2 linked regions of the Schizosaccharomyces pombe genome follow. The gene in region 1 interacts genetically with each later gene. Each region holds a gene or a part of one and is shown on either strand. Other genes may lie near its edges.

Region 1 (5,854 bases):
AAGCGTTCTTCCGGTATATCTTTAAGCTATACCAACATTGTTGATCAACCCATCTTATTCACTCGTGATTCCTCAATGGATTGGTCTTGCAACATGACTTTGTGTAATACGGATTACCCTTACTTGGTTAACACTTGCTTCAATGGCACCCAATACCCCGTTAATTGTAACTCTGCTTTGCGCACTCCATTTGGTGGTGCTACTTGCCGTAATATTGGCTATAAAGGTCAAGGTATTTGTGTATATACCAACGACAGTCGTATCCCTGTTGCCGATGACCATGTTATTGTTAACACTACTTCCAAAATAAATCCAAACATTACCAGTGTCTTTAACTACCGTGACAATGCCTTCTTGTGGTAAAGGATTTCGCATAGATTCCCTTTTTCTTTAAAAAAAATCTAAAATAAGGAACATGGGCACTTGTTCCTTACTTGCATGTCTTCCTTGCTAACATTAAATTATCACTTACCTCCTTCCTTTTTCATGCATTCCTTGTCCGTTTACCCTCAACTTCACCAAAGTGATAGGCGTCCAGTAAGATTTTTATCTTTTGGCTTTTGCCTCTACTCTTTTCTCAACATGTCTTTATTTGCACTCTTATATTTGCGTGAGGTATTTACAGATTTGTATCTTTTTTTTTTTTTTTGCATGCATTTTTTGAACGAGCAAATTAAGTGGGACATACTGGTATGTTCCACCATTAAAGCGCATATATTTTTGCACCAAAATAACTTACTAAACTACATTGCGTATTTTCCTGTGATCATGGCACTTTACCTTGATATGTTTGATCTTCAAACAATCAATCATAAGCTTGACTGTTCATTTCTATTTTGATTCCTTTTAATTCTTCATCCCTTTCTTTGTTAAATTAATTTCCTTTTGTTTGGCACAGGTTGTTTAAACTTAGATTAAGATATATCTCTAGTAAATACTTTACTCATGAATTTATCCAAATACTTCTTTACATTCTTTATCATTTTATGCAAGGAATTTTCTGTAAGTGTTGTGCTTATAAATTTTTTTCTGCTGTAAAATCGTATATTCTTCAAACTTAAAGGTGAGATTAGCATGTTTACACTCGTAAAAATCCGTCATCCGGATCTGGTTTTTTGTTATGACACTTTGATGGATGACTCCCAGAGTTTCATGGTATCAAACAACTCTTTGACCTTTTGATAAATTGCTTTAGTGCACTGCTCGTGAACTGAAGCCGCATTTTTAATTGCAGAATTTTGTATGTTCGTAGGACAGTCAGGAGAATATATGGATTTCAGTAATTTCGTAAAAGGCAACATACACTCTGGAATGTATATTGAAAGAAACTGAAAAAGAGATTCTTTCGTGCCTTGATACTTAGACCATGACATAATAGTTGTTTTTGTTACTATAGAACGATCTTTCAATTCGACAGATGATTCAAAGTCTGATTGAGCTTGAAAGAGATGTAAAACGTAAGAAAAAGTTTTCGAATAATAATTTAAAGAGTTATCAGTAAATAATATCCGTAAAGCACCTATTACTTGGCATTGGAATTGTAAATCAGGGTACACATCCTCAAATTCACTAACGCTCGCAGAATCCAATGTAAAAGTTATACTCTTAGATAAAGACCTGCTCAACCCATTTTTTTCTTTTTCCATAAAAATGAATTTTTTCAATCGAGAAATAAAATTATATCTGTCATCAGAGTTCAAGTCCTCAGCCAACTCATTACGGTCAGATTTATCAAGCCTTCTTGATTTTAACAGAGAAATGACATTATCAGAGAATTCATAATTTTGAAAAAGAAAAGTGGAATGAAAAAAATTTAAAAGATCAAACACCTGAAAATCGTTTTTTAAAACTTTATATGTCGAACGTAAGAAACTGAGAATAAAAGATTGTATTGGCTCAGCAATACAGCAGCAAACATTCAAGTTAAGCGGACAGACGTTGCGCACATCATCTGTAAATTTAAGTTGTAATAAATTATCGTTGAAATCTGGAGTCATGTTCATTTTAGCAAGCAGCGTTTCAAATTCTTCACTGTCATTATTGACGGAAGTTTGTTCCAAATTACCAAAAGAAAGCGAAGAAAAGTTGCAGCGCTCCTCTATTACACAAGCTTGATTTATGTCGTTGAAAGAATATGCGAACCGAATGTTCAAAGGGTTAATAAATTCTTTGTTGTTTTTATTAAATATTTCTTTTTGTTCCCTTATTAATGACAAAAATTGAATACACTGTTCAATGCTTACACAAAGTTCAGAAGGAAAAAAACGGGGAAGTGATAAGAACAATGAAGAATCAATGTGACCATACGCACAAGAAACTTTTAAAGCAAGCTCAAGCCTTTTGAAGTAGGGATTTGAGCAATATATCAAGCACTGTAGGGCAATGGGGTAAGATATGGTATTCTGACATGAACGCGCATAATCAAAAAGAAAATCTAACAAGGAATCTCCTTTTAGGTTTTGAGCCGATTTTATTAAGAAGTGTGAAATTAACTCAAAGAATGAAGAAAAAGAATTAACAAAGTTACTTAAACCAATCAGACCGAATCTACGGAACTCATAAAGACGAAGCCAACGCTGAAACTCCTTTCGATACTGCAAGACACCATTCACAATGAAATTTGATAAATAAAAAGAAATGTTGGTCTTGTATAAAGAGAATTCATTTAAAGCTTTTTTTATTAAACCCCCAATTGCAGAAAATTTCTGGACGATACTAGCAAAACATTCATCGGACATTCCTGAAACGGAGATGGTCGGATCGAGTTCAAATGTGCTTGAGGTTTTGTTCCATGGAAACACTGTGCTTTCAAATCCTTGTGGTAAACCAGCCACGCAATTGAAAATAGTTGCTAAAGGGTAAACTTGCAGTGCAGAAAATAATGGTTTCGGACTCCAATCCTGATTATGAAGAAAATAATCATATACCCGAGAAGGCGCTTCAGATATGAATGGAGATCTAGCTTCTAAATTTTTAAAATTTTCTCCATCCCAGCTAGGGCATGTTAGCAGAACTTTGTTTTCGACAGATAAATCGCTGGGTGATGAATCTGTAAGATAAGAGGGGGACACTGAGGATTTAGCTCTTTTTCTTTCTGAAGTAATTTCCTTAGATGCGCTTATGAGTTTGGAATTGGATGATGTCTCACACCCAGGCACAGCGGGTGTTAGTTGTTGATTTGAAATATCGAGAATGACATCTTTTCCCAACAGATCATCGTTTACTTGAAATGAAAAGTTTTGAAAGTATTCCGAGGAGTCAAATAACTTCCTCTTCAATCCTTCTTTTCCCTCAAATTTCGAAAGCTGCTCGACAAAATCAGAATCAAATGAATTTGGCGTAAGGTCGAAAACGTGGTTGCCGAACCATAACAAGTCGTTTTTCATAATTCCATCCATTCCATTTTTATTTCAAAATCATCTATTTTAGTGGTACATTTCAAGATCCAACTCCTTTACTGGAAAACACTCTTGTTATGAATTACTAAAATTTGGCAATATGTGTGTAGTTAATGTATAATGTTGTTAACGTAGCGAATTAAGATGACTTCTTATCTAGAACAGTCAGGATTAGAAGATGTGAATGAAGTATGCGTCTCTTAAACTAAGAAATGGAACGTTAGTAATTGATCCTAACATTGAAACCAATTCAAAAATCCGTACTCTCGTGGCCGTACAACAGAAAATACTGACATGGAGTTAAAGGTATCCAGGATGAATAAAACAGAATGATAAATTGAACAAAAACTATCAGTTGTTAAGGAATTACTATTGCACAATTGCATAATCTATCCAAAACGACATTCCAGCATTTAATTTTAAGAGAGTGCTATGTGGATAAAACGTATCCTTTATGGAACTATAAGAGCTCTTTTATGCTTCTCTGGTTAGTACATTTAGATTTTTTTAAAAAAAAGTTTATTGTACTATTCGTGATATTATGGTTACAGTATACCTCGCTGGCTTGATCGTTTATTGTCCAGAGAGCTCGCATGCGAGTCAAAGCTGAATGAATGGTATCTTCATATAAAAAAAGTCTATTTGGAGAATTTTGGATCCTTCAACAAATTTATTTGAAGTACTTAATGTTCTTTCTTAATTTTTCTCATAAAACCATGTGTCAAGCAATGAAGGATTTAAATATTGTTGGCAAAAGAAATGTTGCAATCACTAATTCAAGTTTGTTTAGAAGCTTGCATTATATAGTTATCGACTTTTCTTTTGCCTTTGGAAAGGGATATCTTCATTATTCTTAATGAAACAGTATAAAATTCTTTTAAACACTAGACTAGATAAGTTGTTTTAATTCTTTCTCAAAAAACATAAACGACAGTCTAACTCTAAAATAATCGGGATTTTTGTGACACCAATGGTATAAAAATGATTAATTAAAAATTTTTGCGGATAACACAAGACTTTGTACTTTGTATTACTGGAAAATTTAGCTAATTAAAAAGGAGAACACATAAGCAATGTATTCTGGAGGTCAAAATCAATTGATTTTAACCTCCAAATATCAGCTTGATGTACCTTTTTTGCCATGACGATAATACATACAGGACTTTATAAAAATCAGCTTGGATTAAATGACAACCTACTTATCTAGAAATAGAATTTAAAATAAACATTCAGTACCCCCAAATCCTTTTTATAAATTAAGACTAACTATCACTATCAGATTCCAAGTTTATACTTGGCAAAGAGATATTGTCTTCCTCCTCATCATCTTCTCCGTTTCCTTCCACATTAATAGAAGTCGTTTTCTCATCTACGACATCCGTTGTTTTTTCAAAAGTTTCGACGACTGAAGAAGTTGTGTTTCCATTTTCATCACCATTTATGTTTTCAATTTGGCTTGAAACTACACTAGTAGGTCGGTCAACAAAGTCAACGTCTATAGCAGTAAATTTGGTTTCAGTGTCCTGAGAATTGTTTAATGCAACATTTGTAGTCTCCTCAACCTCAACATCTCCATGCAACAGTGAAACAGTTGTTTCCTTGTTTTCCGAAACAATGTTAATGTGATCAGTCCCGTGATTAATAGTTGAAGGTTGAGAAGAGTTGATTTCACTACCTTCTTCATTTCTGTCACCCTCATTAGAAAGAACATTAGACATAGTCAGCTCTGATTCGCTTCTTTTGTTCTCGGAGGTAGCTGTAGAATTATTCTGTAAGCCTGTATCTGTAGATGCAAAAGACTCTTTGATCCCTTCAATTTCAGTGGAATCTGTAATCGACTCTGTTTCAAAGGGAGGATTTGATGGAGCCAAAATACTACTTTCTTTATACTCTGATTGAGAATCCACCTGGGGTGGAGAAATATGCGATTGGTTTTCAAGAGAAACAGGCTCAAATCTTGACTCAAACGTATTTTCAAATTCGCTTGGTGAAAGATGTTTTTGCAAAGGTGGGAACCTAGGATGAATCAGCGATTCTATTGTTTGCATCGATGACCTTGCGTGTGAAGCGACCAGAGGATCTGGATGTACAAGCCCTAATGGACCAGAAATTATACGTATTGCATGAGGTACTATCACTGCTTGTGAATCTCCCGGTGATAAAATTGACGCAAGGAGTAAATTATGCATAGATATCAAAACTGTTGAGGTAGGGTTAGACAAAGATATCTGCAAGGTGCAAAGATCTATTTTGGTCCGTAATAAACGTGGTAATGCTATTGAATGAGTCAAAATGGATGCTAAAAAAGAAAAACAACAATCCATGACATCTGAATCATAAAGCTGATGAGACTCTTCCGAACTCATAAGTGTATCTCCTGCTTGACTTTCAGAAAGTGTTTTTCGCTTTTTTTGAGAATGCCCACGATTTTTAGAGAACTCTATGGATTTGGATGC
Region 2 (4,024 bases), on another chromosome or scaffold:
TGCAAGTCATCTTCCTTAAATCAACGTGCTTTAAGAATATATTTCCAAAAGCTACATGATACATTGACTAGAATCGGTTTGATTCATAGTGGTATTGGAATGATGTTGTTCATTGTGTTTTTTAACTGTTAATCTGACATCCATTGAGTCATTCTTTACAATTTGTAAAATTAATTTGTATCACTAATTTTGAAGGAAGCTATTTTGGTATTAATACCGCTTTTGGTCTCCACTTCCTTTTCGAAACTCTTAACAGCGATTAGGCCGGGTATCTTCCAGTGTGATGTATAGGTATTTGTCGTTTTTTTATCATTTCCGTTAATAAAGAACTCTTTTATCCAGCTTCTTACACTGTCAACTGTTGTGAAAGGAACACATTTAGAATTTCATTTTCCTTATTTGTTGTGATTTAAATCGTTTGACATAATTTTAAATTTGGTTTGAAATGTGTGTGAGAAGGCTTGTTTTATTCATTTAGTTTATTGCTTGTTTGCACGAAAATCCAGAACGGAGCATTAATGTAATCCTTTTTTATTCTGTAAAGCGTTTTTATACAAATGTTGGTTATACGTTTCTAAAATAAGAATATTGTTATAATAATATAGTTTTTTCTATCATTTGTTACACACACTAAAGAGACATTAAGGATAAGCAAATGTGTTAAAATGATAATATATTTTGGAAACATTTATAAAGAAATTAAGCAGCTTTGACTAACTACATTTTTGTTTTTTTCCTAAGCAAAACTGTATAGTTATACACGCGAGCTGTATTCACTTCCATTGTAGTGACTTGAGCTCTCAAAAATTCCAAATCTTCTTTACATGCTTTCAATGTTTCTTCCGCTGAGTTCAGCTTCTGCGTTAACAATGCTTCTGCCTCTTCAACCGTATACTCAAGCATAACATTTGCACCTAACCAAAGGTAGACATTGTCTTTAGCTTCTACTTCTGCTTTTGCATTTAATGTGTCATTTAGTTCATATGTAACAGTAAAAGAGTCACCTTGTCGCTCTTTCAAGAACTGAACACTCTGTAACGTTTTTCGAATGTCAGGAATTTTGTCATCCAAACTAGCAACTCTCCTGACCACACTAGTCTCCATGAATTTGTACTTTCTAAATTACATTATATTAATATGAAATAACATATATATCCTTACGCAATTGCTTCTTGGAACTTTTCGAGATGACCTTGAGCTTCCTCCATAGATAACTCTTTGAACTCAAAAAATTGAGCGGGTGGAATTCCCCGTGGATTTCTATTCATATTAGTTATTTTTTTAAAAAGTATTATACTTCAGTACATACGAAGAACTCATTCTCTATGCAACAGAAAAAGGGGCGGTTGTTTTGAACAGGTAACTGAGTGTCAAAGGTAATAGGTATAGTAATGTTACAAATTTGGAAATGCGTATTATTCCCTAATTACCAAATCTAACCAAGTCTGAACTACACAGTCTAAATAGGCAGAATATTTTGGTTATACACATGTAATTGATAATTGTTGCAAAATCTATTCATCCAATTTACCAACCATAACCTGTATAGAACCATTGCGCAGCGTAATGCATTTTCATTTGAAAGTACTAGCGAGAGTTTTATATCACTAAACTTTTTAAACGTTTTTTAATTACTTGAAATCACATATTTTAGTTAAACATATTCTGTTTGGAAAAGGCAGTTTTGTTGAAAAAATTGTATTTGAAAGACAACTTTATAGAAGGATAGTAAGAAAGTTAATTCCTAAATGGTCTATATTGAACCAAAAATAGTTACATTAAAAAACGAGAGTCATTAAAAGAGCAGATAAATTTGACATTAGAACCACTTTGGAACATTAATCGAAATTTAATCAATCATACAAACAAAAAAATTACAAAGTGCTCGTTTAGGTCACTGATCAAGAAGGGCGGACGGTATAAAGTAATTTGAAGTAAAATCAAAAATGTCAGCGAATAATTTAGAGGGATCCTCCGTGGTTTCAGGTTCTGCATCTTGCATAGGCGGTTCATTTGGGTGTAACATACTGTTGATGAATCTTAAAACATATCCAAATCGGACAGCCATGCCATCATCAAATGTTACGATATCAACCATTCTTTCTTGTACATATAATGTTATGTCACCTAAGTCAGAAGGCACCTCAAAGCCTTTATCACGGCAAAACGCAGCCAACATGAGGGCGTGGATAATCTCCAACAACGCTACCAAAAGCCAGCCTCGTTTTTCTAATATAGTGATTTGAGATATGAGTAGCCTCACGCACTGAATACAACTTTCACCCAAATTACCAATAATAGTTTCTTCATCTTCTAAAATCCCTGAATCCAGGGTAATAAAACATTGATACAAATTCACACGTGCAGTCCAGAACACCATTTTCAAAAATATGTATCGAAATTGAATATCTTCATTAGAAGGGTCATAAAACTTTGCTTCTATATCTACCAAAATAAGCGAAAGCTGTGATTCATAACTCTCCAGTTTATCAATGAATTTACTAACGGTGAGTGAATGAACAGATTTATAGATTGAAACACCACAATCAAGTAACCTTCCAAGAAGTAGATGAAAATTGTAGCTAATATCGTCATTAAAAAAACAACGAAGCGGCTTGAGACGACCATAAGTGTCGTGTTGAATGAATGGCGGACGGTACTTTAATACACATTCCAAACCATCAATTTCACAGAGAGCAAACCACAAATCTGACGTATTTTTTCCTATTTTTTCCGTAACTTGGAAGAGGGGAGTTACTAAGGTTGATACGTGAATGCTTCTACATAAGTCAGTATTCACTCCTCTTATTCTTGTGCGAAATTTTGTTGCATACGCTCGCAAAAGCAGCATCTGAATTATTTCTTTATCAGGCAAGCATAAATGTTTATATTCCTGCTCGGATATCTCGTTAAGTTTTAAATTTATAAGACGGCTGGATTCCAATGGAGTAATCCCCGCCGAATTATAAAAATTGAGAATAACATCAGGCAAATCGCTCAGCTGGATAGTTGCAGCAATAATTGGTAATAAAGTGAAGGCATCTTCGTACGAAAAAGATTCTGGTGATTCAATGTTGTTTAAGCTTTTTTCTACTGTCTCTTGATCATAAATAGGACAGACAACATTTAGTGTTTTAAAAAATAAATTAACAATTTTCTGTGATATGCAAAATGGCGGTAAAAGGTTCGCCAAACTCTCAACAACCACATTATCTTTATAGCTACTGTAAGCCTGAATTGAAAACGAAGGTCGAGATGAGCACATGTCGCTATCCTTTCTATATTTAATCAACTCAAAGAGTGATCTCCATCCATAAAAATCAAATTTCTCATTTTTTTTCGGATTAATATCGGGAGAAACTTCCAGTGTGGTTTCAGAATCAGAAGCATTTTCGCTATGACTAGGATGTGGTCCGACGTTCATTTTATCAATGGTATCATCTGCGTAAGTGCAAACCTCGTTCCTTTCTTTACATCGAGAGCAAGGCTGCTGACGGTCGCATTTGACCTTGCGGCGCCTACAAATTAAACATGATTTTGGGCTGCGTTTTCGAAATTTCTTTAAAGCTGGAGGAGAGGAAGACATTATTAGAAGTATTGATAACTTGATAATTTCCTTTCAAGCAATTGTAGTTGCCTCCGTATTTGAAGTGGAGGCACAAAATAAAACGAGGATCCTTCAAAACTTCCTATTTTAGAGAATCCTTTAAAAGCACCTTGATATTCAGACCGACCAGCGGTTGTTATTTCTAATTAAAAAAATTAACCTGATAATATACTTTAAATAAAGTTCCTTAATTGCAACTTCAGATTGGGAGGCACTTGTATTACTAGTAATGAAAAGATTATAATATAAAAGTTACTACTTACTTACTTACTAAGCTTACAACGTACTAGTCGGCGTTGCGTAGCAGTGCATCGCTGTTATCAGATCAATTAAACTGCACGTTTACCTAAGTAGTAAAATATTAAAAGGACATTTGACATTCATGATCATCAAATTAATAATAAAAATATGTCGTTG

What was found. Genes that interact genetically often act in the same process or in processes that back each other up.
Region 2: mutations in alp16 (region 1) and pfd3 together harm fitness more than expected from each alone (negative genetic interaction), as found in Schizosaccharomyces pombe (2 studies listed by BioGRID).

The regions. Positions count from the first base shown.
Region 1 is NC_003421.2:431,277-437,130, forward strand, and holds alp16 (gamma tubulin complex GCP6 subunit Alp16), read right to left. Parts: upstream 3,511-5,854; 5' UTR 3,399-3,510; coding exon 1,119-3,398; 3' UTR 988-1,118; downstream 1-987. Other genes in the region: SPOM_SPCC306.11 (uncharacterized protein), read left to right, coding at 1-363; ribosome biogenesis protein Rix1, read right to left, coding at 4,661-5,854. UniProt on the Schizosaccharomyces pombe protein: Component of the gamma tubule complex that is required for the regulation of both interphase microtubules and mitotic bipolar spindles.
Region 2 is NC_003424.3:600,166-604,189, forward strand, and holds pfd3 (prefoldin subunit Pfd3), read right to left. Parts: upstream 1,354-4,024; 5' UTR 1,321-1,353; coding exon 1,310-1,320; exon of another isoform or gene 1,261-1,309; coding exon 1,162-1,260; intron 1,118-1,161; coding exon 718-1,117; 3' UTR 661-717; downstream 1-660. Other genes in the region: inositol phosphorylceramide synthase Aur1, read left to right, coding at 1-19; SPOM_SPAC3H8.08C (transcription factor), read right to left, coding at 1,895-3,586.